Xenopus tropicalis: one gene and its partners. The protein of the gene in region 3 interacts with the protein of the main gene of each other region in a pairwise test. Links are inferred from orthologs where the notes say so. Each region holds a gene or a part of one and is shown on either strand. Other genes may lie near its edges.

The links.
Region 1: the proteins of vim (region 3) and yae1 interact in a two-hybrid assay, tested with the Homo sapiens proteins (2 studies listed by BioGRID and IntAct). The link is inferred for Xenopus tropicalis from reciprocal best matches to the Homo sapiens genes VIM and YAE1.
Region 2: the proteins of vim (region 3) and crmp1 interact in binary tests that used the Homo sapiens proteins (3 or more experiments, as listed by UniProt). The link is inferred for Xenopus tropicalis from reciprocal best matches to the Homo sapiens genes VIM and CRMP1.
Region 4: the proteins of vim (region 3) and sirt6 interact in a two-hybrid assay, tested with the Homo sapiens proteins (2 studies listed by BioGRID and IntAct). The link is inferred for Xenopus tropicalis from reciprocal best matches to the Homo sapiens genes VIM and SIRT6.
Region 5: the proteins of vim (region 3) and kat7 interact in binary tests that used the Homo sapiens proteins (3 or more experiments, as listed by UniProt). The link is inferred for Xenopus tropicalis from reciprocal best matches to the Homo sapiens genes VIM and KAT7.
Region 6: the proteins of vim (region 3) and kiaa0408 interact in binary tests that used the Homo sapiens proteins (3 or more experiments, as listed by UniProt). The link is inferred for Xenopus tropicalis from reciprocal best matches to the Homo sapiens genes VIM and KIAA0408.
Region 7: the proteins of vim (region 3) and ess2 interact in a two-hybrid assay, tested with the Homo sapiens proteins (2 studies listed by BioGRID and IntAct). The link is inferred for Xenopus tropicalis from reciprocal best matches to the Homo sapiens genes VIM and ESS2.

The regions. Positions count from the first base shown.
Region 1 is NC_030682.2:64,476,593-64,480,977, reverse strand, and holds the start of yae1 (protein YAE1 homolog), read right to left. Parts: upstream 2,872-4,385; 5' UTR 2,735-2,871; coding exon 2,606-2,734; intron 1,249-2,605; coding exon 1,127-1,248; intron 31-1,126; coding exon 1-30. UniProt on the Homo sapiens protein: The complex LTO1:YAE1 functions as a target specific adapter that probably recruits apo-ABCE1 to the cytosolic iron-sulfur protein assembly (CIA) complex machinery. May be required for biogenesis of the large ribosomal subunit and initiation of translation.
Region 2 is NC_030677.2:25,635,700-25,640,124, reverse strand, and holds the start of crmp1 (dihydropyrimidinase-related protein 1), read right to left. Parts: upstream 2,913-4,425; 5' UTR 2,722-2,912; coding exon of another isoform or gene 2,650-2,721; coding exon 2,287-2,649; intron 1-2,286.
Region 3 is NC_030682.2:28,585,034-28,589,545, forward strand, and holds the start of vim (vimentin), read right to left. Parts: upstream 2,890-4,512; 5' UTR 2,821-2,889; coding exon 2,270-2,820; intron 809-2,269; coding exon 748-808; intron 1-747. UniProt on the Homo sapiens protein: Vimentins are class-III intermediate filaments found in various non-epithelial cells, especially mesenchymal cells. Vimentin is attached to the nucleus, endoplasmic reticulum, and mitochondria, either laterally or terminally.
Region 4 is NC_030682.2:40,098,933-40,102,494, forward strand, and holds sirt6 (NAD-dependent protein deacetylase sirtuin-6), read right to left. Parts: upstream 2,203-3,562; 5' UTR 2,197-2,202; coding exon 1,201-2,196; 3' UTR 818-1,200; downstream 1-817. UniProt on the Homo sapiens protein: NAD-dependent protein deacetylase, deacylase and mono-ADP-ribosyltransferase that plays an essential role in DNA damage repair, telomere maintenance, metabolic homeostasis, inflammation, tumorigenesis and aging.
Region 5 is NC_030686.2:14,512,306-14,516,186, reverse strand, and holds part of kat7 (histone acetyltransferase KAT7), read right to left. Parts: intron 1,085-3,881; coding exon of another isoform or gene 908-1,084; intron 726-907; coding exon 486-725; intron 1-485. UniProt on the Homo sapiens protein: Catalytic subunit of histone acetyltransferase HBO1 complexes, which specifically mediate acetylation of histone H3 at 'Lys-14' (H3K14ac), thereby regulating various processes, such as gene transcription, protein ubiquitination, immune regulation, stem cell pluripotent and self-renewal maintenance and embryonic development.
Region 6 is NC_030681.2:67,955,410-67,958,903, forward strand, and holds the end of kiaa0408 (uncharacterized protein KIAA0408 homolog), read right to left. Parts: coding exon 2,700-3,494; intron 813-2,699; coding exon 675-812; downstream 1-674.
Region 7 is NC_030677.2:153,459,292-153,463,902, forward strand, and holds the start of ess2 (splicing factor ESS-2 homolog), read right to left. Parts: upstream 2,832-4,611; 5' UTR 2,638-2,831; coding exon 2,485-2,637; intron 1,353-2,484; coding exon 1,184-1,352; intron 1-1,183. UniProt on the Homo sapiens protein: May be involved in pre-mRNA splicing.

The DNA of each region.
Region 1 (4,385 bases), about 36 Mb from region 3:
TTGTGAAGTTGGCACCATGCCAGGAGTGCACTGCAACAAGCACACAAAGTACATTATATAAACGACAATGATAACATAGATACATTTTCTAGAAGCACTGGCATTTCCTGATGATACAACAAGTTTTATTGTCAGCTGACCCTAGTTAAACTTTTGACATCAATTTTCTGCTGATTGTCCCTATTGTACTCATTCTTCTATCACGTTTGCAGTAAGTAAAACATCAACATTGACAATTTAAGATTTAAAATATTTTACAAATTTGTGAAGAGCTAGCAGTAGGTTGCAAAATACTTAATTAAAAGAGTGACTGAAGTTTATCGAAGCACAAGTCACATGGCTGTCAATTATCAAAATTAGAGAAAAAAAAAAAATGTTGCTCTTCCTGTAAGGGTGAAGACACACGGAGCTACTAGTAGCGGCTACTTGTTGCAGCTACTAAAACAGACAATGCTGATCATTTACTGATAACTGTCTCTACATGTGTTTTAGCAGAGGCAATTCTCTATTTTCTATGGCAGGGGATTTTCTGGTGTTTAGTAGCCGTGACAAGAAACCCTTTAAAGGGGAAAAAGCCCCCCTTTTTTCACATGAGATAATTCAGTTTTGTGCTTATATAACAAAAGTGTAGAAACTTCTGAACTGCCAAAAATATATACAATTCTTAAAAATATGTAATGTTAAATCTTTCAGCGCTATTTAAGTCTTTATTAACTGCCAATATAATGAATTTTGTAATATTGCTACCTCAGTTCTTGAAATTGTACAGTCAAAGACATACAAACCTTACATTCAGAACAGAAACAGGAAAGCGATCAGAAGCCCCAATTGCCTTTTCCCATCTCCTTCCTAAGCAAAGCAACAGCACAATATTTGTTTTTTTTTTTTATTAAAAAGGTAGCTCTCTTTGACTGTACAACTGCAGGAAATAACCAGAAGGCAGTGATGTTACAAACTTTATTATTTTGGCAGTTAATAAAAACTTAAATAGCTCTAAAACTGAAAAATTAATACTGCTTATAAAAGCACCCTGAGCATTTTGACACATTAAACATTTGTAATTCCCGTGACTGAAAAGCTGTCGGAAATAACTGGAGAAGTGAAGATAAAATACAATACAACTTACCTTAAGATCCCTTTAAGCTCTCCGTAATGCTTTAGCAGGTTCACTCCAACTTTATATCCAAAATTAAACCCTGTTTGTAGAGAATTTTCTTTCCCAGCCTCTATTCCATCAACGTAGCCCTCCTACGAATACAAGAATAGAAATTCAAACTAAACAAGCATTCCACAAAATTAAAGCAGTTAAAATAGTTTTCATCTGTAACCTAAAATTAATTTAAACTTAAAACTCCATGCCTACTGCATCCTACATATCCAACAGACAATATACTGGTGGATACGGTACATTTTTTTCCCTGCCATTTTAACCCTTTCACTGCCAAGCACGTAGGCTGTATGTGCTGGCAGTAAAAGGCTCTATCTGCCAAGCACATACACTTAAATATAGATATTTAGAAGCCTATATTGTTATAGAAGTGGCATTACACAAAAATTCTAGCATATTGTGAAAGCTTAGATTGCCCTGAAAAAAATATATTGTTTTCCTGGGTAAGCTAAAAGTCCACCCTGAGAAAAGGCCTCTAAAGTGAAAGAGCGCAAAATGTTCAAAAACTGTCTGGCAATAAACGTTCTGTTGTGACCAAATCTGCTTGCAGTGAAAGGGTTAATGTGTAGGTGGGTAGGACATGGGACTAATTAGTGCAGTGATCCCCAACAAGTGCCTTGTGAGCAACACGTTGCTCCCCAAGGCCTCAAACCAGGTAGTGATTTTTGAATTCCTGACTTGGGGGCAAGTTTTGGTTGAGTAAAAACAAGATTTACTACCAAATAAAGTCTCCTGTAAGCTGATAGTGTGCATAGAGGCTGCCTAATAGCCAATTACAGCCCTTATTTGGCACCTTCATGAACTTTTATGATGCTTGTGTTGCTCTCCAAGTCTTTTTACATTTGACTGTGGCTCACAAAAAGATCCCCGAATTAGTGTAACCTGGTCAACCAGTAACTTCATAATGAGTTACTTGTGTAACGACTGATAAAGTTCTGAAATGGGAGTGATTATTCTACTTTCCCCGAATCACAGCTTGGGTGCAGGTAAGAAAGTTGTGTATAAAGCAATGACAAGGCAGAGAAATGAGGTAGGTTAGTCTTGAATTAGGGCAAACTCCACTGACCTTCAATGAACGGACTAACTTTATTAGCACATTACTCTTGATTATAATTAATAAAGTGTGCTATATTGAACTACTACTGACTAGCTATTTGGGCCACACAGAAAGAACATGTGTGTGTTTAGAAGAAATGCCGAATTCCTGCGACAAACATTGAAACCCCGATGCGAGTGCTCCATAACACAGCAGTGCCCTGAGGTAAAACAGAGCCCCGCTTTTACCAACCTCCTTGTAATTCCCAGAAAACCTGCTTCTCAATGTATGCCTTGGGGTAGGTAACCAGGAGCACATGAAATCACTTACCAGTAAAATAGGGCAATGCCTAGAAAGGGGCCCCCAAACTCGCTATGTTAGTCTAACTATCTCCCGAATACCTTAATTCTCTTCTCCATGGACAGCTGCCAATCTCGCTGCAAAAGGCGCATCTCGTCTCCATCTTCATCAAACACCTCTGCCTCCCCTCCAAGCTGCTGGATTTCCAAAGCGGTGCGTACCCACGCCATTTCACTATCAGGGGCCGGTATCTAGCTCTAGCATGGCATAAACTGGAGGAGAATCCCTGCTCTAACGCAGAAAAGCTAAATACGCCCCTCGCCCATGACGAAAATATCAGTCTAACTTCACCCCGGAAGTGGAAATTATTTGCAGCCGCATCCTCACCAATAGGGATCGCTATTTTATGCGCCATTTTCTGAAGGCATGTCCATTGCTTATAAGCCAAGATGGTTGTTTGGGTGTAGTAAAAAAAAAAAGCAACGGAAAGCGTATTTCTCTATTTCCTAATGGTGCGTCAGCGCCATCTTGTGTAATATTAGTGCTTGACATGGGGTGAAATAATGTGTGGCGAACTTTATATGGTTCAAATGTTATGTACATAACTAACAGCATGTTGTTTCGTGCTTTTATGATTATATGTAAAGTCTTTTGCGTGCTGAACACAATAATGAGCTCAAGATTATGGCAAAACTCCCCGCCCCAGCTCAGACTTACACTAGCATACCTTCCAACATTTTGAAAATGGAAAGCGGGACAAAAAAAAATGCAGAGCACAGCTACTTTGTGACCACGCCCGTTTTTTTGCGACCACACCCCCTAAATACCACTCCCATTTGGCAGGTTATAGTTTGTTTACATTTCTGGGGGTTTTGTTTTATGTGTTATAGTTTTGCTGAAAAGATGAAATTGTCCTTTAAGTTGCAAGTCTCAGTTCCCCCAAGAGGTCTGTTTAGCTTATTAGTTACACTTGTATCTCAGTGCAGGGGGGGGCTCTTTACCTTTCTGGGTTCTTTGCCAAAAGCCCACTTATTTCATTAAATGTGAGAAACAATGTATCTAAGTGCAATGTATCTAAGTGGGGTCTCTGCCAAAAGCTACTTTTAATTAAATTAGCTTCAGTGCAGAAGATCAAAGGGAAATGAGGGACTTTTCAGTAAGAATCTGGGACTGCAGGCTGAGCTGCCAAAAGAGAGACTGTCCCGCGAAAATCGGGACAGTTGGGAGGTATGCACTAGGGTTGCCACCTTTTCTCGAAAAAGATGCTGGCCTTCCTATATTTTTAGCTATTTTCCCTATTAATAACATTAGCATTAAAGGAGAAGGAAAGGTAAAAACTAAGTAAGCTTTATCAGAAAGGTCTATGTAAATACAGCCATAAGCACTCACAGAAACGCTGCACTGAGTTCTCTGTTAAAAGATACAGGATTTGTTGTCTCTTTGTTTTCCTGTGCCAGACACACGCAGCTCTCTCCTCTCTCCCCTCTCCTGCTCCCTCCTCCCTCAAGAATGCTAAGAACTCCCTTCCCCCCTTAGGAATGTGCGATCTTAGCCAATCAGCAGGAAGATTCCTCATAGTCTTACTAACTGAGCATGTACTCTTGGTCTTGGTGTAGGAGTGAGGCATTATGGGAACTTTCACCAAGCTCAGTGTTTTTTTTCCCTATAAGGCTTCTGATCATCTGAACAGGTGAAATATGGGGAGACTTAAGGGCACTATTGAGAGAACTGAAGGTATGCCTGCAGCTTGAGATTAACTCTTTATTAGCCTTTCCTTCTCCTTTAAGAATAATTTGTACTGGCCAGGCCGGTAAAATACCGGGCAGGTGTCAACCCTAACTTACACGTGTTTACCTAAGAATCAATGAGGTTTTTAATTGA
Region 2 (4,425 bases), on a different chromosome or scaffold from region 3:
ACCGCAGACGACTAATTTCCCCGCAATGCCATCCCACCGGCAAGAATGTAAATCGCCGTTGGGATGGCATACACATCGCTACAATTTCCTGAAGTTGCCTCTTCTTCTCTTGGCTAAGGGATATATCTTTGGAGAAATCCTTACTTGCTGAGATAACTTTTTTATCTACAATCTACCTGCCCAGCCAGAACCTTGATCCTCATCCATCAAACCTTCAGTGTCAGTGGGCACGAGGAATTTGACATTAGAACATTTCCGTTTGAATTGGTTCTTTGATTTCTATTTTAAAATAGAGACACAGCAACAAAGTAAATGAGATTAAAAAAGACACATGTCCATTAAGTTCAACCTTATCACCTAATGAAACCTTCCTGAGTCTAAACCCATTGGGTTGATCACTCTTTTCCCCAGGCTACATCTCCACAGCAAAATCTACCTAAGCTAGAATCAACTACATCGCTACCTTAAACCTGCGCTGGACTCTAACTGTCTGCATGACTTGTACCTTACTTGTACTTACTTCACCACAATTGGGCTAAGGTTGGAGGGGAGCACCAATGCTTTCCGGAGGGAATTTCGTCTGGGTCAGTGGGGCCTACAAGGGCCGGGCCCACCGTTTGTTTCCCCAGTGTCCTAAATATATCCTCATCTTAACTGACACCGTCTTATTGTCACTAAAACCAAAACCTTCCGGTATTAGTATATCCAGCCTGACACCTTTCTCTACCTGGATTAGCACTGTCTACTCCTATCTCAATATTATCCTGAAACTTTCCAACACTTCTACTACCACCTTAGTGGTTACAACAATTTAAGGGATCAGTTTTGTGGCCTACCCAACAGTGCCAGTTCCATCCTAGTTCTTCATATAGTTTTGGATGGGAAATGCTCCAATGTCTCACCAGTCTCCATCTGGGTCATTGCTCTATTATATATACGCAAGAGTGTGTATAAAGTATGTTACAAGGTCACATGTCCTGTTTTGTCAAGGCTCGAGAAGACCCTACTAACCAGCTAGGAGCCAACCTGCTAACCTATGCTTGTATCTAACAAGGCAGATCAAAGGTGAAAGTATCTACTGGTTCTGTCAGCAGGACACTGTATCCCATCCAGCCATTTAATGACACAAGGAAAGTATTGTATATTGATCACATCTTGAGTCAAAATGTAAATTCTGGGCAATTAGACAGCTGTCAAACAAACTGCAACTGCAAAGCAGGGACATTAGTCTTGCAACAGGGAGCCAGGGCTGCTAAACCAATATATACAGTATTTTTGTGCTATTTATTGCTACAATTTTTTTAATGACTTTCTGGCAACTCAGACTTGACGTCTGATCCGAAGTCAAGGAAATGAACATGTAGTAAGTAAGTGTGTTGGGGTGGGAATCAGCTCCAGTGATGAGATACAGGCGGAAGGCCTTGCAGTCTCAGTGCCACTCCTCTTTGTTACACCGACCCACTCAGGCAAAGTAGCGCAGCCTCACCCTTTCCTTGCCAGGCAGCTGGGCCCAACACAAGGAAAGACATGACATATAAGCAGTCGTAGTCATATGATTTATCAATAACTGCCATGGGTCATGTTACTGCTAAATGACATGCAGCGAGTCCATGAAACATTACATTTCCATTCAACTGAAGAGCTGCCCTCTCATTAACTCAGTCTGAAAACTTACAGATAAGCACCCAGCACCCATAAACTCTCACCTGTGAACTTGAATGTATCAATATACACAACAATATGTTTCCCATATATGAATATAAATTATTGGATTTGATTCTATAATTCTAGCTTTATAGAAACCTCCATTAACCTCCATTTCTCCGGCCCCTGAGACCCTTTTGCTCCAATCCCAGTACTGTATAATCATTTCCAATCTATTTATCTTGTCACTTCTCAATGGAATGCTCCTATAGCTCACCCTGCTGCCCCATTGCTTCTGGGCTCCTGGTGACCTTGAACAAGTCCCTGCTATCTTTTATTGTAGAATTAGATCGTAAGCTCTTAGGCTCCAGGATCCAATCTCTCACACAATGTAGGGCCAGCAGCATGGCTACTGCGGATGAAAGAGGCAAACAGGTATCATCTGTTTTTTAGTTGTAAGTGAAATCTCCAGCAATATATGCTCATTGGGGGTTACTGCCCCCCCCCCCCAAACCCCAAGGGAATTCGGTCAGCAAAAGGGTTAATATGGTTTATCAAATGTTAATAGAAGGAGAGGTGTATAGAGCTTGTGGCCCCCATAGCCCTGAGTGATGGTGCTGCCCCCCAAGCCTCTCCCTGTACCTTGCCATTGTGCTGGCCCTGTAGCAGCTCTTTGCCTCCGCTGTACTTGATCTCAATGCCGGGGGTTCTGTCCTCCCTTTCCCCGGGGGAACTGATGACCGATCCGGAGATCTCACTCACATCGCTGGCTGTTTCGCTGAAATTGTCCCCGTCCATGTCCGGCCTGCTGCTGCTCCTGGGGGTGCGGGTCCCTTTCTTCCCCACGCTGTACGCATCGAAATCAATGGTTTTGTTTTCATAGGCCCCTTCTACATTGGCGAACATGCCCCCATACTTGACTCTGGGGGTCTGCGCGGTGGTGCCTGGCCGGGCCAGATACACAGGGAGATCATCCTCCTTATTCCAGTTGGATCTCCTCTCCATGCTGCGCCGCTGAGCCCGGGTTGCGCTATCGCTGCTGCTGCTGCTGCTGCTGCTGGGGAGGCTGATGCTCATACACAATAACGCAGCGGTGCGGTGAGTGAATGGGGCGCAGAGCTAGTGAATGAATCCTATTGTTACCGCGGCGCCAGGAATAAGCGCAGGCAGAGAGAAGGCGGCAGCCGGGGCAGATCTTGGTGCTGATGCTGCTGATGGGCAGGTTCCGGGGGCTGATTCCTTCCCAGAGAGGCGAGGATGCAGCAGCCACTCACCCACTCAGCACTCACTGGCTCAGCTCTAGGGGGACCCCTCCAGGAGAGAAATCTCACCTCCCACCAAAGGGACGCGCACAGCCGCCCCCCCCCTCCCCTATCTGGCCTGGAACTGGCTGGGAAACGGACCTGTGCATCTCAGGCCGGAGGGGTCTGAGTGTGAGGGGGTGATTTTACCCATATATTTAGATTTAGGTTCAGAAACCTGCAATGCAGTATTCTGGTAGCTGTGCTAGCAACATATACTCTATATATAAATATATAATATGTCATCATTTTACTAGAGAGCTAGCAGGTATTATATTTACTAAACTACTATGTGTTCCAGGGATGGGCTGTTGTGTAACAACTACAACTCCCAGCATCCCCTGCCAGCAGCAAGTTGCCCTGTTTACCTTATTCAGAGACACATTCTGCAATCTCTGCTACAACTTAGTACATTACCCAGAATGGTCTTTAGCTGGGTGAGACTTGGGTTTGAGCAGAGCAGTCACTGGTAAGTATTATAAACTGGGTATTACTATGGGAATATATATAAACTGAGTATTACCTGGGTATTACCCTGGGTATATATATAAACTGAGTATTACCTGGGAATTACCCTGGGCATATATATAAACTAAGTATTACCTCGGTATTACCCTGGGTATATATATAAACTGGGTCTTACCCTAGGTATATATATAAACTGAGTATTACCTTGGTATTACCCTGGGTATATATATAAACTGAGTATTACCTGGGTATTTCCCTGGGTATATATATATATATAAACTGAGTATTACCTGGGTATTACCCTGGATATATATATATATAAACTGGGTATTACCTGGGTATATACCTTTGGTATATATATATATATATATATATAAACTGGGTATTACCTGGGTATATACCCTGGGTATACAGTATATAAACTAAGTATTACCTCGGTATTACCCTGGGAATATATATAAACTGGGTCTTACCCTGGGTAGATATACATATAAACTGGGTCTTACCCTAGGTATATATATAAACTGAGTATTACCTTGGTATTACCCTGGGTATATATATATAAACTGAGTATTACCTGGGTATTACCCTGAGTATATATATAAACTGAGTATTACCTGGGTATTTCCCTGGGTATATATATATATAAACTGAGTATTACCTGGGTATTACCCTGGATATATATATATATATAAACTGGGTATTACCTGGGTATATACCTTTGGTATATATATATATATATATATATATATAAACTGGGTATTACCTGGGTATATACCCTGGGTATATATATAAACTGGGTATTACCTGGGTATATACCCTGGGTATATATATAAACTGAGTATTACCTGGGTATATATATATATATATATATATATATATAAACTGGGTATTACCTGGGTATATACCCTGGGTATATCTATATAAACTGGGTATTACCTGGGTATATACCCTGGGTATATATATAAACTGAGTATTACCTGGGCATTACCCAGCAGCCCAACAGCTGAGG
Region 3 (4,512 bases):
TGGAATTGTAACTGAATAAAAGGTAGAACTTGAAGGTCTATAATTAGGTTATATATACTAGTTTATAGAATAGTACAGGGATACCCATATTGCAGCCTTATTGTTAACGGATGTAATACAACAGCAGCTAAGAGGTCTCTGATAAAGGTCTCTGATAGTGATGGGCAGGTCTGAAAATTTCCAAGCCGCACCTGACGTAACCCACAGATTTCCGTCGTGCATCTAAGTTCTCATCCATTTTTTTAAGACCAGACCCATTTCCAATAATGGGTGGAGCTGATAGAGTGACACCACCAGAGGGGAGACCAATGAACAGAGGCCCTGTTTGAAATTTTTGCTACCTAATGAACAGCACTTGAGCTTCAGTTTCTCAACCCAAACCCTCCCCCCCCCCCCGACTCACTGATCCGCCCTTGGCTAGTCTAGTAATAGCAGCATATTTATTATATCTTCAACACTTGATTGTTTTCTCAATTGACTGACCATAGGGTTTCCCTATTTGTGAAAATATCCTAAGCTATATATATATATACAGAAGAATCATGCTAATACAGAAACCAAACATCATAACTAATTACACACCTGTCCCATTGCCAAATTTTGGCTGAGAAGATCTCAGATGTATCAACATACTGATGCCTTATGAACTGCTGTACCACTAGGGGGATTTCAGCACATGTTGTACAGTAAGTGCAAGATCTAAGTGCAGTATATACCAACAGTTTGAAGTAGTATTGCTTCTCATACCTGTCTAAATGACTGCAGGTTGCCTTCTGCTTCTTCCTTCTGGATCATTTCATCTTGTAGCCTAAAGTAAGAACAAGTTTCAGCTCAAAATGAGAAAGATTTGTAAACCTTGGGAAAAGATTTAATTGTAGGCTTTGTAGAGCTAACAAAATACAATCTTTTATTTAGCACTAAGCATACATTGTAGGACATTCGCTGATTGCTTTAGCAGAGAATGGGGAATCATTTTTGAGTGATTTTGTACCATCTCCTATGCAGCTAAAAGTAAAGTAGCTAAAGTGAAGTCTATGATATTGCAATGGGCAAGTGATGGGGTTGGTTTTATCTAGAGGGAGTCATCACCACAGCTTGGTTTTGGGGTGCTATATTGTAAAGACCCAGGGAACCCCGCCCAAGCCTGAGATTTCTGCCCAACTTCCAACTCTTCTTAGATTATAGCGCCACCTAGGAAGTACCTTGATAAATTTGGCTCTAAGAGGAAATTTATGAAGATATATTGTATGTGTGTGTGTATTACTTTCCTCAAATAGTTGTTCTGCCATGACTAAGTTCTTTAGTTTGCCAGTAATGTTGCAAAACAAATGTTTTTTTTCAGAACAATTGGCTAATAGGCCTAGGGAGGAACTCGATCTCAGTAAACTTTCTCTTGCCAAACAATTTAACCAAGGAAATGCTATATAGACATCCAACCCACTAGTAGGTTTTTATTGTTAATAGGCCAATATAAGGCTATTTGGATAATGAATAAACAACGCTCCATCTATTTGTATGTTTTTATATTACAAATATGCATCTTCCATTAGCAATGAGACCAAAATGGAGGCAACATTCAGTCTGAATGGAGTGCCACACCCATCCCAATGAGCACAATGCCAGACACTGAGTAGGAAAGTTTTTCACAGTGTCCCTGGCAAAGTATATGCCCAGTTTTTCATAGTCCTTCTGCATTTCTGACCATTATATAATCTAGCCTGAAGGTTTCCATCATTTCTGATAAAGCAGCCATCTGACAACAAAGTATAATCTTGTTCAGTGCAAAGCAGCATAATGAACATCCTGACTTACATAAAGTAGTTTAATAATCTCTTTAATATCTCTATTCTGACATTTCATCCAGGCTCTCCATAACACAAGACTGCCATTAACACTTGCCTTAATCTACTGAATGGAAACTAATATGCTAGCCATACCATAGCTACAAACATTCAAACCCACATCAGCTGGGACTTTAATGGGATGTACATCATACTGGAGAAACAAAAGGCAACACCCAGTCTATACGGGGAACCTGCAGCTATTGCTAGACTACAACTCCCAGCATACCCTCACAGTTTTAAGCTGAAAGGAGTCTTTAAGAAGTAGTTGGAGAAGGAATGGCTATACAGAATGATAGATACAACATACTATTTACAATTACCCTATAGGAGGATGCTGATAAGTGATTAGGTAATACAATGAGGACATTGGATCAGTAAGCATCCACCATTAGCTGTAACTATGATAAAGTTATACTTGCTCTTACTTTTCTCTCAGTCGCTGGAGGTCATCGGCCAGGTTGTCTCTGTCTACTTCTACTCGGTCTTTAGCGTTGGTCACTTGATCTAATTGTCTACGGAGCTCCCTCATCTCCTCCTCGTAGAGGTCCCCTATCCGTGAGGTTCCCTTCCCTTTCAGCTGTTCCAGCTCAGCCACAAGGATCTTGTTCTGCTGCTCCAGGAATCGCACCTTGTCGATGAAGTTGGCAAATCTGTCATTTAGCTCTTGCATTTCAGCCTTTTCGTTGGTCCTGTTGGCTTTATATTCAAGGTTGACAGCATCTGCTAGGGTGAAGTCCACTGTGTCTGCCAGCCTGGCTGGGGGAAGGCTGCTTCTCAGCCTTACCGAGGAGGACTTGAATACAGCAGGGGAGGCAGATGTGGAATAGACAACTCTGCTGCTGCTGCTGCCTGCGCCTGGGCGCATGGCACTGCCCAGGGAATACCTGGTGCTGGAGGTCACATAGCGATTTCCAGAGGAGCTCGACCTAGGGTTTCCCCCGAAAATCCTTCTGTAAGATGACTTGGTTGTTGCCATTGTGGTGCTTAGGCTCTGGGTTTCCTTTGTAATTCCTTGGACACTTGAGTTTCTATGTGAGCACCCCTCTCCTCACCCAGCCAGTACTTGAGCAGTACAGAGAGCTGGCACCAAGGGCGGTACTTATACAGAAGCTAACAGGGTTTCCCATGACAGATGCCTCAGACAACCTATCAGATTTGCTGCTCAGTTTCCCCTTGTAAGTTCTTAGCCAATAGAAACACACAGGGCTGGACTAGCGATCCGCTACTTTGTGCTCATCTTCTCAGAAAGTTACTTCGTATCTCTTGCAGGAGTAGAGGGCTGGGTTCTCTTAGCACTATTCTGTCCCTCTTATCCCTCACATCTAATGTGTGGCTCCAAAAGAAAGGACACAGCACAATAATACAATTTCTTTATGCAGCCTTCTGCTCATTGAAAACTTATTGGCTCAGGTGTCCAGCATGAGCTTTTTTAAACTGTAACTCTCAACCTAGTGTTGGAGTGGTAGATGAACAAGAGCCAGAGGGCTGCAGTTCCGTTACATTTAATAAAATCCATTGCATGTTATATGGTGCTCACAACCCTCAGCCTTTCTCCTCTCATCATTTTGTCCCAGCCACCACCCCCTCCTCCTTCCCTCTGCCTCTGCATGATGATGGGGGGAAGGGAGGGGGTAGAATGAAGTCCAACGAAAAGGCTGAAATTCAAAAGCTGAACGACAGATTTGCTCTGTAGACAATTCTTTTTTAAGCTGCTTAGAAGATGGTACAATATCACCCAAAAATTATCCCCCATTCCCTGCTAAAGCAATCAGCGGAAAGTCCTACAAAGTTTGCTTAGTGCTAAATAAAAAAAATTATTTTGTTAGCTCTACAAAGCCTACAATTAAATCTTTACCCCAGGTTTGCAAATCTTTCTCATTTTGAGCTGAAAATCTTGCTTTAGGCTACAAGATGAAATGGTCCAGAGGGAAGAAGCAGAAGGCAACCTTCAGTCACTTAGACAGGTATGAGAAGCAATAATACTTCATACTGTTGGTACATACTGTACTTAGATCTTGCCCTGTACAACATGTGCTGAAATCCCCCTAGTGGCACAGCAGTTCATAAGGAATTAGTATGATGATACATCTGAGATCTTTTCAGCCAATGGGACAGGTGTGTAATTAGTTATAATTACACATTTTTGGTGCTTGGCTTTATTATCCTTCTGTATACTTGTAGATTAGGATTTTTCCACAGATAGGCAAAACGTATGGTCGGTCATTCCAAGAACATGTAATCAAATTGAGAAAACAATCACATTTTTAGATGTAGTAAATATACTGCTATCCCAGGATTAGCCATGGGCAGATCAGTGAGTTGGGGGATTGAGAAACTGAGCCTTAAGTGCTGTTCATTATGTAGCCAAAATTTAAAACAGGGACTCTGTCCACTGGTCACTCCTCTGGTGATGTTACTGCACCAACTCAACCCATCCACAACATTATTGGAAATGGGTTTAGTCTTAAAAAAATGGAGGAGAACTTAGATGCAGGGTGGCAATCTGTGGGTTATGGTGCAACTTGGAAAATTGCTGACCTGCCCATTAGCATCAGGGACCTTTATTAAAGGCCTCTTAGCTGTTGTAATTTTATCCGCTAGCCCATTACCAAAAATTGTGCATTGTTCCCAGGTGCAAATACAGTGTATCCTTTAAAGGAGAAGTAAA
Region 4 (3,562 bases), about 12 Mb from region 3:
TTGGTGGAGACACAATATTGATGCTGATAGATCATTTCTTGGGCCAGTATTGGTTGATCTGTCACACCTCATACACGTAGACCAGTCGCAAGGCTACCCAACTTTAACTCATCTTAAATACGCATATTCAATTCCCTTCTCTATTGGTTTGGTTTTTAAAATCAATTAAAACACAGGTATCCATGTCATTTTAAAATGTAGCCAGTTGGGAAAGGGGAACTAATAGCTAAAATACAAACTGGCTACATCCCAAGTCATACCAGAAAGTGGAAATGTAGGAAGAGTATCTCTGTAGTAATACGGTAAGTCAAATCAACTAGACTTGCTGTGTTTTTCTAGAGGTTTCGCTAGTCATAAGAATTACATGTACAAGGATCTTTCTGGAATAAATTCCTTGAAATGTTGCTCCAATCAGCATAATCTATTAAAACTGGCATGGTGTCAGGAAGCTCATGAAGGTACGGTGTTGATTGGAAGAGTATGACTATGATAGTGGGGGTTATTGGAGGAGTATCACTAGGATAGTGGGGGTTCTCTACACCATGATTATTGCTTCAAGCTTCTGGTTTATGCTTTGCCACGGTTACACAAGTAAAGCATAGTTATGTCACTTGCACAAGTGCACAGGGAAACCGAAGCAGTGTACCTTATGCCTGCCTAAGCTCCTTGTAAATAGAAGGGTAGGACAAAAAGGTGGTTCAGGTCAGCAATGTCACTTGGCATGCATGTGAGCTAGGCAATTCATTTATTTAAACTGCGGTTTTATGAATGCAACCAGCCAGCAGTGGTATAAAAATCAATTAAATATATCTTGCTGCATCTGAGAAAGTTGTATTTTATTTCTGTTTAAAGAAATGGCTGGCAGTTCTGTAAACTGTTTTTTGTTTTTTTTTCCCTTTTTTTAAAAATAGAGGAATGTACAATATCAAGTCTTTTTATATGCATTGCTAGATATACATCCTGAAAAAGAAAACTTTAGTGAAACTGAGTGGCACATCTCTCACGGATACATTTTCTCTAATGTGTGTGCCTGTCTCAGTCAAGAAGACATGTACAAGCTAATACAGCACTGTGTGTAACATTATATAAAATAGTTTGGCTCATACATATCCAAATATGGGTATTCTTATGTCCAGCACAAAACAAAGTTAGAGCCAAGTTAAGGAATATAGCACCTTTTTTGAACTAAGAAGACCAGTATCATACACATGCTGGCTCAACTTTTGCCTTTTTTGGCTCGAGATTAGGTTCTTCCTTGCATCCTTCTCTTTTTTGGTTTGGGTTAGCACCCAGCACTGAATCATTGTAGAAATGATTTTCCTCCTTATAGTTTCCATTAGTTGGCTCTGTTTTAGTAGGCATACCAGTCCAAACTGGTATCTTGTGACCCAAAAGCTCCATGAGCTGTGTCATCACTTCATCCACATAACCGTGTATTCTCAAATCCGCGTGCTTGTCATGCTTGGTCGGCTGAAGGTTTACAATAACTAGTTTCCCACCCTTGCGCTTGGTGAGGAGTGGTAGGTTCCCACTGGGTCTAATCTGCAGTGATGTCCCCAATGTAATGGACAGGTCTGCTTTCCTGCAGGCTTCATCGGCTAGGTTTAGGTCTCTGTCAGGAAGTGAGTCTTCCCAATCCAAAATGGTGTCTTTGAGCTTCCCCCTGCAAGCTCTCAGGCCTCGCACCTTGGGCACATCACAGAGTCTCCCAGTAGGTTTGAGCCCCATGGTTCCTACAACTTGATCTCGCACGTACTGTTTGCTACATTTGCTGCATTCCTCCACGAACATGTTTCCATGTAGTTCTGCCAGCTGCTCTCTGGGGAAGCCAGATCTTACATGCAAGCCATCTACGTTTTGGCTAACCAAAAATTTCAGGATGCCAACCCTCTGCAGCTGAAGCAGCGCCATGTGGGTAGGGGAAGGACATGCAGATTCAAACGTGATGTCAAACTTTGGGTTCACACCTTTCTCCTCCAGAGTCCACACTCCATTAGGCCCCCTGAAATCTGGGATTCCGCAGGAAGTACTGATCCCGGCTCCCGTGTGAAATACTACGTAGGAGGATTTCCGAATCATATCAGCTAGTTCCACTACCTTGCGACACAGTTCGTCCGGTGGATCAAATGCCTCCGGGAGCCCACATCGTCCCTTATCGGAATAGGGAGACAAGCCAGCCGCATAATTCACCGACATGTCGCCAACAGAGCCCGAAACAGGAGTGACTCCTTTGTGATCATTAAATGGCCGGCGCAGGCAAATGACGTCAATAAAACCAGCCAGACGGTCGAATTCTTATTGTAGAGTACTGGAAAGGGAGTTTAGGCGCCGTCCCTGGTGCGTTGATTTCGAGAGTATATAATTCAGTTCAAGGCACATAATATCTAACAAGCCAGCAGCCCTCTATGGTAGAAACTATATTCTGGGTGACGAAGAAAAGCAATGGTATTTACCTCGTTGTTATGTAAAGCTTTGCGTTGGAGACTTTGCAGGTAGACCAACAGTGTGTAAGTTGTTACGAGTATTTTAAAGTGTGCACATTTATATATATTATACAGTGTTCTTCAGTCTATGACTCATTTAAACCGTGAATCATTATATATATATATATATATATATATATATATATATATATATATATATATATAGTGAGTGGAAACAACCCCCGATTTCTAGTCAGCCCTATAGCATTAGCTACTGTGACAGGCAACCTTATTTTCTGCTTGATAATTTATGACAACCCCAAAGCTCAGCTTCTCAACAGCTACCCAGAGCATGTGAGTGTCACTAACAGAAACCAAGATGGGGAGCTCCTTTGTTTTTAATTAATTGTGATCACGATTATTTATATGAGCGATGTTACTAAATAACTTTCTTTTGAGATAACTAATTTTTCCCCAATATCTTTTGGTATCTGGCAGCTCACTAAGGGGCACATTTACTAATCCACGAACGTCCGAAAAGCGTCAGAATGCGTTTTTTCGTAACGATCGGTGTTTTGCGACTTTTTCGAGTGCTCAATACGAAAGTCGCGACAATTCACGAAATTTGTATTGGCAGTGAAAAAGTCGCGACAATTCACAAAAGTCATAATGGCTATGAAAAAGTCGCGACAATTCACGAAATTTGTATTGGCAATGAAAAAGTCGCGACAATTCATGAAAGTCATAATGGCTATGAAAAAGTCGCGACAATTCACGAAATTTGTATTGGCAATGAAAAAGTCGTAACGAAAAAAAAATACGAAAAAGTCGCAAAATGTTCGTTTTCCAATCCGAATTTTTCCCATTCGGATTTGGGGATTAGTAAATCAGCCCCTAAGTGTTTTTGAATTGATTTCTTATTCACAAGCGCAGAGTGGTGATTTCTAATCTTATGGGGAGCTCTCCTGTGACAAGGCATGGATCATTACTATTATAGAGCTGTTAAACCTTTTGGCTGGTGGAGTAAGTTCCGTATACAAAATATGGCAAACCTAGCCATATTTATTTATAGGGTTTAATCCTCTTTTTGCATAGCTTGGATATGTGCCCCTGGACCCCACATCTACTTTTGTGAGCTT
Region 5 (3,881 bases), on a different chromosome or scaffold from region 3:
CTTTTATTATACTGCTTTTTATGTGTGGGCGACAAGTCCCCTTAAAACATTACAAAATAAGGCCAGACTAGGAAAAACTCAGTCAAAATAAATTAGATTAAATATTATCATTATTCATCTTGCAGGCACAACCCTCTAGTGGCCAAAAAAGAGAAATGTTACAATATATAAGTGCTAGATTAGCATGAAACGCACTAGGCTGCATACATGGGATTTTTTTAATGGATTACAATAAAGATTTGTATTTTTACATTTTGATCCTCGGCGGACTTAATCTTTATATATTGTAACAGGTCCCCTTTAAACCCTGTTATGCACTTCAGGCGCTAGGCAGGTTACTAAGGGGCCTGCAAGGCAATTTGGTTGGTGCATGTAGTCACTGGCAAAACTGACGTAGCAGAAATGTTTTATTATCTATGGATTTTGTTCAATATTACATTTTAAGAGAGGAACATAATTATGGGATGAAAGGTTTAATAAGTTACCCAATGAGTTGCAGCCAGGAGTGGGGCACTTCATGTTAAAGTTGTAGCTCTCATGAAAGCGCCTTCGTTTAGGCCTGTGAGAAAGGTCACTTCCAGAGTCCTTGAGGGACATGTCCTTGGCAATGCTCTCATCGTGAGACACGTTGGGGCTGGAAATATCAATGTCAGACTCAGAAGACGGTGCATTTCCAGTTGGAGTGCGAGGCGGTGACTCGTCGTGATACCCTGCGTTTTTAGGGTCTGCAGCAGAAATAGAAAACTTTGTATCATGGTTTGTACATGGAAGTCTGACACATGTAGAGAAATCTACTCTACAGGCTTACAAGCTAGAGAGACAGCCAGCGTGCATCTACTAGGACAAGAGAGAAAGAAAGACAGAGCATGTGTCCGGCAGCAATTGCAGCTCATCTGCACCCCCGTACCTCTGTCACAAAAGTCCACCGCCTGCTCAGTTTCTGATCCCGATGAACGGGTCTGTCGGAGTGGGTACTTTTTCGGAGTCACGGGGGTGGGCTGCTGCTGGCTGCGGGTCACCCTCCGAGTGGAGTAGACCGGCTCCTCTGCACCAAACGATTGCAGATTGCCGACTGGGCTGGAATCTGGTTTAATACAAACCAAAGTTTCACTCGCCAATGCTGCCAACCCTTTGCACCCTAGCAGGGCAGGAAAGCAAAGCCCTTGATCTGTGGCCAAAAAAGTTAAATATCTTGCCTGACTGATAATTTAATTATCTCTCAAGGACAGAGAATACTAATTTTATTAAAAATTTTTGCTCATGAGCAAATAAGTGTCCCTTTAACTGCACTGCTTCCCTCAAAAACAGATATTACCCCCCAAAAAAAGATAAAGAACACTGCTTTCAGCCAACAAAGTTAGCCAATGGGGAAAATGGCAAGGCAGTCAAAGACCTGCAGGAGAGATTAGCGGACATATTTTAACACTGGCCACACATTGGCTGATGAGCACGTAAATCTTGCCAATGTAATTGGCCAATAATTTTTTTCCCAAAAACTCATCCCAATGACAAAAGAGAAAAAAATATCAGTTTGGGAACAACTGCATTCCATTTTCCACTTTAAACTGCCAAACAGAACAATCCAGGACTATGACCACTTCAGAGCTGCAATGGGCATGCCAAACTCTACTGATTTTGAGAAACTCAAGTCTGTAGCACATTGGGTGAATTCTGGGGTGTTCTGCACAGTTTAGTTGTGATGCCAAATACCCCAAATGACCACGCCATCTCCCAGTGCATTGGTGCTTTTCCAGCAATTGTAGTTTTAAAGGCTGATGACCAAATATCAGCTGAAGTGGTTTCTCATTGGAAACTCTTCCACAGCACATACAGTTACCTACAAAGAGCAATAAGCCAGAGAGAAAACAAAAGTGACACTAAAGAAAAGTATGAAAAGAACTGATGTGCAGGGTAGTCACGCAGCCCGAATGGTGTGCGAATTTCACTAGCTGCCTGGCAGCTTCTGGGGAGTCCTTGACAGTACACCCCAAGCTAATCAATGGATCTTAATAGAGCAAACAAAAAGTGAGGGGTTTTTTTTGCTTTGTGTAAAAGTATTGCTTTGCAAAACGATTCCTAAGCTGGGAAAAGGGGCCAGCCAGTCTGAGATGAGCTAAGCACAGGCCATGTGATTGGACCTCAGGGGGCTCAAAAAGAGGGGGGCTCAAAAAAGTCCAAAATTCTCTGCTTTAAGAGAACCCTGCGAACAGAGTAGAGAAAACGTAGTTTTAATATATGGCTCATACACAAGTTTTCATTCCAAGACCTTAAATCCCATGAAGAAAGACTCACATTAGATCATAATGGTTGCAGGAACCTTTAAAAGACACAGGGGGTGCCAATGAGTTAGGCCCCACTAGCGAATATAATCACTAATGGTAGACCTTAGGCTGGCACTTTTTCATACAGGTGCTATTCCTGCAATGCCACCATCTTTTCCCTGCACTGTACGGATAGCTCACATGTGCACTACAGTCAGAGTAGGTATGACGTCCCAGACACCGAAGAGGATCACTGGGACATAAGCACAGCTGGCAGTAATGTGCAGCAGCAATTGCACCACTCAGTCAGTCTAAGGATACTCCCTGGGGGTGCCTAACACATTAGCACACCCCAGTGATCCTCACTTTATTTATATTTTTTAAGTGCTAGAAATGATAAAAATCGGTGGCACGGTGCCACCGGTTTTCTGTTTCAGGTTGCCCTTTGAGTTATGTCATGCCTTGTGTTTACTGGCAACATACAGGCAAAGATCTTTTTGAAGCTTAGTGTTACATGGGATTTCTGCTCAAAATCAACATTTTGCACATTGAAAGAAATAAAATTCTAGCAACTTTACAATATGCATTCATTATACATTTTCAATGGTGCTAAAGTTATTTGTAGGTGTAACTGATATTAAAAGCAGCATGTCTGGTTCTGTATTTCCTTCACTTCTGGCTCTGACTCATGAAATAATGTTGTAAGCCAGCAGATAAAATCTAATCGAAAGACCTAAGAGAACTGACAGTTGTTCCATTGTTTTAGAGTCAGACCAAGCGAACAAAACAGGATAAACACAAACCAGCTTTGACAGCAATTATGTTTACAAATAACTTTAAAAATGTAAAGATTTTCAGTGAATGTATATAGGAAAGTTACTTAAAATAATATTTTCTTTCATTCTGCAAAATGCCAGTGTTTCGGTGGAGGACCCCATTAAAAGTTCTTTGAACGTTTCAAATCCTGTTCCTCAGAGCAGGAAGGTGCACACACTGCCCCTGTGTTTACCAAATGAAAACATTTAAATTAAAAGTATGTTACAAAGTTACTTATAGATCACACGGATTTTATTTTATTCCAGGCTCACTACAAATACTACTCCTCTCTGCTTTGTAACACTGTTAAATTTAAACATAAATAACCCCAGCTCTCAAGCTTGTGCCCTAGCACACTGTCCACTAAAAAGTCCAAATACAGGTTAGCAGCAGTGAGAATATTATTTTGAATGACCAATGATTTGACAATTCTGGTGTATTTGCAATTTAACTGCAACCACATTGCCCATTCCAGCCGACAGAACCCATTTATCCAGCCAGGTAAATGTACTCCATATTGTACAGTATACCCATTTCAAACTTGTTTTTGCACTTAGGACGAAGACATACGGGACGATTGGTGGTGGCGACTCATATTAACCTATGGCATTTAAATCTCCTGCGATTAGTCTCCGTGACAGTTTTTTAAAAGTCACTGTGACTAACTGCCCAGACTAATAGCTATATTAGAAATACACCTATAATAACATAGTAGTAATACAGTTTTCCTTGAGCGATAGCTACGTAGTTGGCAAACCAATGTCCTCAGAGAAGTACAATATGGCAACAAGGCCATGCCTATTC
Region 6 (3,494 bases), on a different chromosome or scaffold from region 3:
TGTAATTTACATATAATAAACAATACTCTGGCTATGTTAAAATACAACACACATTCTAAGTTGAAGCATGCAGTGGGAACATGTTACATGCATACATTACCTGTACAACTGCACAGCAGGGATCTTTTACAACACAGGACTATACTGATCTAGTTTTTAGTATTATGAAAAACAAAACAAATATATATATATATATATAAAGAAAATACACAATAAATTATGTAACATAAAGGGGGAAAAAAAAAGCACAGAAATATGTTTCTGCTGGTCGCCAAACACTGAAGATTGGTTTGATTGTCCGAGAAATTCAGATTAATGAAATGTTAGAATTGCATAACATGGCTGCTGTGCTGCTACAGGTGTTAGAAAGTTTCATAACCTGGTAATTATTCTACATCCTCAAGCTTATAAACCTTTCTTTTAGCCACAATACTCAATCAATGGCCTTCAGTATCATCAGTCAGCTTTTCTGAAGCCTAATGGATATACCATAATAGATGGTTCTTTATACTGCATAGCATTGTCCACAATATCTTGACTTTAAGATATAGACCATGTCTTCTATTTCAAAAGGGTGGGTTTCATCTTCATGCACTTTTAGCTCATGAGTTTCCAAAATATTCCTCACACATCCCTAGTCCCTTTATTTTAGCACAAGAAGATATCAGAAATTATTAAATTGCTGTTCTTCTTATAGAAGGGGGCATTGAGGGGGATCTTCCAGATGCCCATCTGGAAGGTGGTCTTCTATTAGCTGGTCTTGCAGGGCGTGAAAATCCTTTTCCATTTGAAGAAGTCCCCAACAATGACAACTAGAACATAAATAAAAGTTTACAAGATTACAGCTGGGCAGTGACAAGTACTGTTATATACAAACAGTTATTACACTAAATTAAAGGGTTCATATACAACTATTATAAAAGAAAAATATATCACTAATCAATCAATTTTTGCCCATACTACCTCCTACTGTAATGGGAGGTACATTTGTATAGAGCTCATTATAAGGAGGTACCCTATAATAAGCTCTATACAAATGTATTCTCCCTAGCTGTTGCCTATACCATAGGCTTATTTGATTAACTACATACCTCCCAAAAATGTTTAGAGGAACAAATGGGATTATCAGTTATGAATGGTTTGAATTTTACTATTCTGCACTGTTTCCCAAATAAACGAAGCCAACAGATATGTCCACCACATTCAACATGTTTAACAAGGGTGTAAACATGTTGAATATGTCAAATATGAGAAAAGCCAAAGCAGATATAACTGCAGAATGCATTTATCAAAGTTTTTATACCCAAAACATGTGTGTGAATACAAGCACTTTGCAGTTATGTCTGCTTTGGCTTTGCTCCTTTCATATTTGACAATATTTCACTAAGATATCTGACCAGACCTAAAAAAAATTCCATCTGCTGCTGCTGATCTTGTGAATGAAGCATCATTGGATCTAAAAGTGGGAGTGGCCTAACATACTCTATCTTGTCCAGATCCACTTGCTTGGGCCTTCAGAAAATCCAAGCTATTTGGCCATCAGTGTGAATGACACAGTGTTTTTTTGACACTTTAGTCCGCAGGTCAATTAATCAGATAGTCTTAAATTTAGCTTCCTTTATGCCTATGGAATTCAAAAACCCTCTAATGAAGTTTAAAGGTCAAAGCTCTCTAGCTCCAAGAACTGTGACTTAGCAGCTTTTCGCTGCAGGGGTCACATTCCAATGACTGTATTTAAGATGCCAAGTGTACGCATATGTGTTATGTCTATTTTTACATAAACAGATCTGTGATGCATGGACAATAACAACAGTAAGATCATCTAACAGCAAGGACAACTAGATTAGGATTAATTTTGAAAATGTAAGCCCTCGGGTTCATCAGGATACTGCAACATCAAAAAATACTTGTTTCTGGAATTATAAAGTTGCTCCCTAAATGTGACAATAATATCCACTTCAAAACTGTTGACTATTTCCATTACTTCCATTACATATTTGTACAATTCCATACTGTACATTTAAATGCCTTAAGGAAGTATGACTTGTAGTAATTTGAACCACACCTGACCCTAACCCTTCCGCTTCCAACCTGACCTGGAAACCCACCTCTGTTTATAAACCTGCACCCAACCCACCCCATTTCACACATCACAAAGGGGGTGGTGCAGGGCAGGCACCCGAGGCAGAGGCCGGACAAAGTAAGGTTGAGGATAGGAAAGACGGAAGAAAAGAGCTCAGCCTGAACAGGCCCGCATCCCACAAATTTTTAAACCCTCCCGTGGGTTTCAGTTGGCCCAGGCATCACTAATAACTTGCCCTAAGACGTCAGAAGTTGACAATTAAACCATATTCTTATTATTTACAGTGTAAGTTCACAGTTCCTTAAGAGTTTTGTATTTTTAAGAAACTGGAATATGGGCAACTAATGAATAAAAATATTTAATAGGGATGCACCAAATCCAGGATCCAGTTCGAGATTCTGCAAAGATTTGGCCTTTGCATATGCAAATTAGGAATTGGATTTCGGTATTTGATCGAATCTTTCACGAAAGATTCAGGGTTCACCAAACCAAAAATAATGGATTAGGTGCATCCCTAAAATTTAACTATCTATATTAAAGAACTGAAGAAGTCTGTACCTAAAGAACAAATGGTGTTGATAAACCAAACACCATCCCTTTAAAAGGTTACATTTACCTCGGGTAGCTTAATGCTTTCAGCATTTTCCCGAAGTTGCCGGTGAATGGACACATCATTACTAAAGCTTGTGGTTACTTGGTCAATCTGGAGCATTTCTAAGCAACGAGTCAATTTTTCAGAGTTAGCATCTGTCAGAAGGAAATCTGAATTTGTCCGTTTCCTTAAAGCATGTTTAGAAATATGATATGGAGCCTTGTTTTCATAGCTCTTCAAAAGCTTTTCCACAACACCATAGTTGGACCTAGAGTCTGCAGATCGTGGTCTCCCTGACAAATTGCTTGGTGTCCAGTTGTGCTCTTGTAGCATGTTTTGGTAGCTACTTCGGCTGTGAGATCCATGTGCTTGCAACTTTTGGACTGTAGAAGTTTCACTCTGTATTGCACTGTTTTCATAGAATTGCACAGTTATTTCAGCCTCATTATCTGGTTTAATATTGGTCCGAGCAGTGCTCAAACTGTGATCCAGCGAGTGAATGCAAGACTCCTGCTTTGCAGGCTGGTACATGTCATGTAATGACTCATGGAAAACTTTGCTTCCCTTTTCTGTCTTAAAAACAATTCTATTAAATTCATCAATCTTTGCTGCTAGCTTTCCATTCGTCATTGCCATTTCAGGTCTGAGTTCAGATGCATTAGGATAGTGCTCTGACATTATTTCATCAGAACAGAAGTTGTTAGAGCATGGCAACCTAGAAACTGAAGTGGTGGAATTCCATGCATCATTTTTAAAAACTAAACTGTCATAATCTGCAATGTTGCCCAGGAAAGGTTTTACTGGGTTTGATTTTTCAAG
Region 7 (4,611 bases), on a different chromosome or scaffold from region 3:
ATTCACAAAACGGCGAAAATTCCATGTGCACCGGATTTTGTCGCCCATTTCGCAAAACAAGCCACCAATGGCGAAACTCGAAAATTCACAGCAAATCCATGCCTGCCAAATTATTTTGCCCATCACTTCTCGTGAAGAATAATCTCTGTGCACAGATATACAATTCACTGCATTTGCATGGTACCGTGCAGGACCAGTCCCCACGACTTTTCCAACAGGTGATTAGTTGCTGTGACTGGATTTTAAAAATCACGCCAACTAATCACCCCATCTGTCTTCGCCCTAACACAGCAGAGCGTACAATATAAGATCCCTAGTATGTATGCACATACACTAGGGTCAGTTTCAAGAACCAGTTAACCTGACAGTCTAAGGTAGGCCTAGAAAACAAAAAGTTATAAAAAGATGCTGCTTTTAATTTAATTTAAAAATAAAATCTATATTAATGTATATTGGAAAGGTAGGGTAGGCATAAAATTACACTTTCTTTAAATAATACATTTTGGGAAGTTTTTTATCTTTCATTCTGATTTCCAAACTTCTGCCTCATTGATAGGGTACAAAAACCCCAGCAACCAGTTATCACTCTAAATTCCAAGTTTTACAGCCGGAACACAAAATAATGTAAACAAAAAAAAAGCTATTTTATCTTTAAAATATGTCAGTGTATACTGTAAAAACCTGGGAATATTTTTAGCTAGAATTAAAATTGGTATTAATAAACATATTCCCAAGTTTTCAATGCGACTGCCACCCACTTCCATTGCTGTCTCCTACCTTAAACCTTTTTCTCACTGCTCCAGTCTTGGAAATTCTATACCTATTGCAGTCTTTAAAAAAACAAACTCATCTGACAATTAATATTTACATTTATATATGTAGTAATGTTTCGGAATTATTTAAGCCAGGCTGCTACTCCCTATCTCGCATGGGAATAATGTGTAAAGCTTGTCTCGAAACCCAAAGTAATCAATTAGCTAGTAGCAATTACTGTTTACTGATTGGCGGCTACAAATTGCTACATTTTAGACATTTTATTACATTAACCCATTAGATGTTGTTTCTAAGCAGGCAAGCCCATTATTTAAAACCCAAGCAGCATTTGCATTAATTAAGTAGCATGAATATAAAATATATAAGTAACAGGATCTTCCCCATGAGCTCATTAGTAATATAAACTTACAAGGCAGTGGAGTATCCTGAGCTGATTTGCCCAAGGTGGAGCCAAACTTAATGGAAATCTGTCTCATCTTCTCAAGGTCTCCACATTCCTCTGCTTCCAAATATTCCTTCTGAGCCCGCAACTTCTCAACATCTGGGAAGAAATCTCTCTGAATGATTTTCTGAAGATTCTGCATGAAGATAGAGAAAAACAAAAAGGTGGTTTTTACAAACCACATATACTGTTTGCTATGCCGTACAAAAGACAAGCTAGACAAAGACTTACTTATGTAATCACACTTTATATAATAAAAATCAAGATTTGTCTAACCACTGAAACTGAATCTCTAAAACGGAGCATATGATGTCCACACACTCCACATATTCCTCATTAAAAAAAAAACACAAAAGAAAAGTTGTATTTCATGTTATGAATTCCAAGTTTAGGGGGTTAATGTGGCATTTCATTTAGGCATTAATCTGCTGATAAGGGTACAAGCATTTTAGAAAATATAGGGTTTCTATTTAAATCCTATTTTTTTGGGAGTTTTTTTTAATACAATTGCTCTCAGTAGTGGGAACCCATCAAAAACTAGCAAGCAGGCTCTTGTTCCAATTACTCTTTTCATTTATACATCCATAACATGTTGCTTTAACTTTGAGTGGCATGCATTAAAAGGAGAACCAGTGGGCTATTATCAAACTATATAGGGGTTATGTAAGGTACTAAGTTTGCCCATGTGCAGTAAGCCATAGTAAACAATGAGCAGGTAGCATTTACTGATCACCTTTTAAAAGCAAACATCTTATTGGTTGCTATGGGTTACTGCAGATGGGTAAACATGTAGGGGTCAAGGGTAAGGGCCCACGGTGAAATTAGTCGCCCATGGTTAGATCTCGGCTACAGTGGGAGACTTATCTCCAAGAAATTCCTTTCCATCGGCAATAAAGTGAATGGCCGGTGGGAAAGTTGCATTAAATTTTCACCTGCAGAAGGAACTTTGTGCCTGATGATACCACTGACATTTGCTTATAGCTGAGCTCCACTGTCTTCTATGATAATATATATTTAACAGTTAATATTAAAAAAAAACCTGTGATTATTGGTTGAAGTAGTTGCTCTATTGTCAAAGGGGCATTTGCCCGTCTCATGTAATTTAGTTTAGGTAACTTGCCATGCGTGTGAATATTATAGGGCCAGTGCTCAGTTTTTCGGCACAGTACTGCAAAGACTCTACGACATCGCACTGATCTGACAGCTGTCCCCAAAAACACACTCAAGAGCACATTCCTTCTCATGTCACCGTATCCCCCGTGACTTACCTGTATATACGTCTCTTCACACAGCACCTTCTTCTTTGGCCTGCTGCTCTCTGCTGCCTCAGGGACTTCTCTTTGTATGTCTAAAGCTCCTGCTCCAGGCTTGTGTTTCACTAATGCCCCAGTGTTTTCACTCTCCGCTCCAGGGGCTGCCATCCCGCGGTACTGACACAGAGACACCAGCACACAAACGCTCACATATATAAAGCCACAAGGATTCTTGCTGTGTATAGACGTCTAAAAAACAAATCGCAATCCCACCGCAATATAACTACATTCAGCAGACCCTCTCCGACACCATACAACCACAACGCATTCCGGAAGATGAAGCGCAATAGCGTATTGCATTCTGGGAAACGTAGTTGTAACGTGAGTAAATTGCCGGAAGTTGTAGTGTGGGATGCGGGGAACCTTCCAGCAATGAATTCATACAGGAGTCAATACAATAATAACAAAAGGGATAAATACCAAATATAATTATATTCAAGTTTAAATGCTGAGTAGGAAAGAGACCAGGGAAAGGAATTCCATTCCTTATAAAATTTACATTTTTTTTCCTCGGGTTTTCAGACTATTCACTTATTTTATAGGTACAGTTTGATTTTGCTTGTTTGCTTACAATTCATATTTGTATTACATACTGACACGGTATTTTATATCCTGTAGTTAATGTTATGTCACTTTATGTGATTTACAAAAGTATGGAACTATACCTCCCAACATTTTGAAAATGGAAAGAGGGACAAAAAGAAATGCCACACATAGCAAGGTGAATTTCATTTTTTGGGGTCTTGTTTTATGTGTTATTACAGTTTTGTTTAAAAAATGCTGAAATTGCCCTTTAAGCTGCAAGTCAGTTCCCCACAAGAGACCTGTTTAGCTTATAAGTTACAATTGTATTTCAGTGCAGGTGAAGCTTGTTAACTTTTTGGGCTCTCTGCCAAAAGCTACTTTTTAATTAAGTTTGAGAAACATTTGTATCTTTTTTGGTCTTCAGTGCAATGAAAAGGGCAATGAGGGACTTTTCAGTAAGAATCCAGGACTGCAGGCTGAGCTGTCAAAACAGGGCCGGAACTAGGGGTAGACAGACAGGCACCTGCCTAGGGCACAACGATTGGGGGGCGCCAGGCAGGAACCTCTCTTGCCTACCCCGTAGTCCACGCTACCTTGTCATTGCCCCCGCCGCTTGTCATTACGCGGTGGGGGCAATGACCTCCCCCTGTGCTTGATGGAACTGCACATGCGCGCCAAAGCACACACGAGGGCGGGGAAAGTGCAGGGAAGAGGTGACCGACCGCATTGCCTAGGATGGCCGGTCAGCTTGGCCCGCCTCTGGTTGGGAGCTGTTTGAGGTGCCTTGAGAATGTTTATGATCATTATGATTTAATTAGCATGCATACAAGGACATGCCTTTCAGAGGGGCTGCTGTAAGATGCCATAGACAGTAACTATTTAGTGGGCTGGTGGAGGGCTTTTTGGGTCTCTGTGTACTTGAAATGCCAGGGCCTGTTTGGAATCCCTGGGCCTGGTTTGCAACCCTGCTAAATGCATATACACTACTAATGTTTTGTAAAACATTGTAATGATCTTTGTCTAATAAAGACATGATCTTTGTCTAATAAATTACATATTTGTAATCTTACAATAGGCATTTTACAATAGGCATTTCACAACCTTACTGCATTCAGGCTTGCTGCATCAAGCTCCAGAAGGGGGAGCCGTTCACCTTAGGATATTCTCTTTGCAAATAGAGGAGAACACCAGAATGTAGATGTTCTGCTCGGTGAATTTGTTGCACACTTGTACAGCAAAATATATTTCACATGTTGTGTTGTTTAAGTCTGCAATAAATTGTACTGTATATCTGCCTTGTGGTGATCTCCTTGTCACTTGCAAAAAGTATATTTTGAATCTTCTCTATTCACATGTTGTATTGATTGATTACAAGGATACTGGCACTTTTTTCTCAGCACAACAAGCAATAAAAAGCATCACTACTTTGTAAGGTTAATGGCACATTGGTAGCTGATCCACTACCTTCCATCCCATTTCTCTGTGTGCACTGCTAAATATGCTCTCAGTGTGTTAAGTGGTAAATCCAGTGCATACAGATAGAGGGGATGGAAGGCA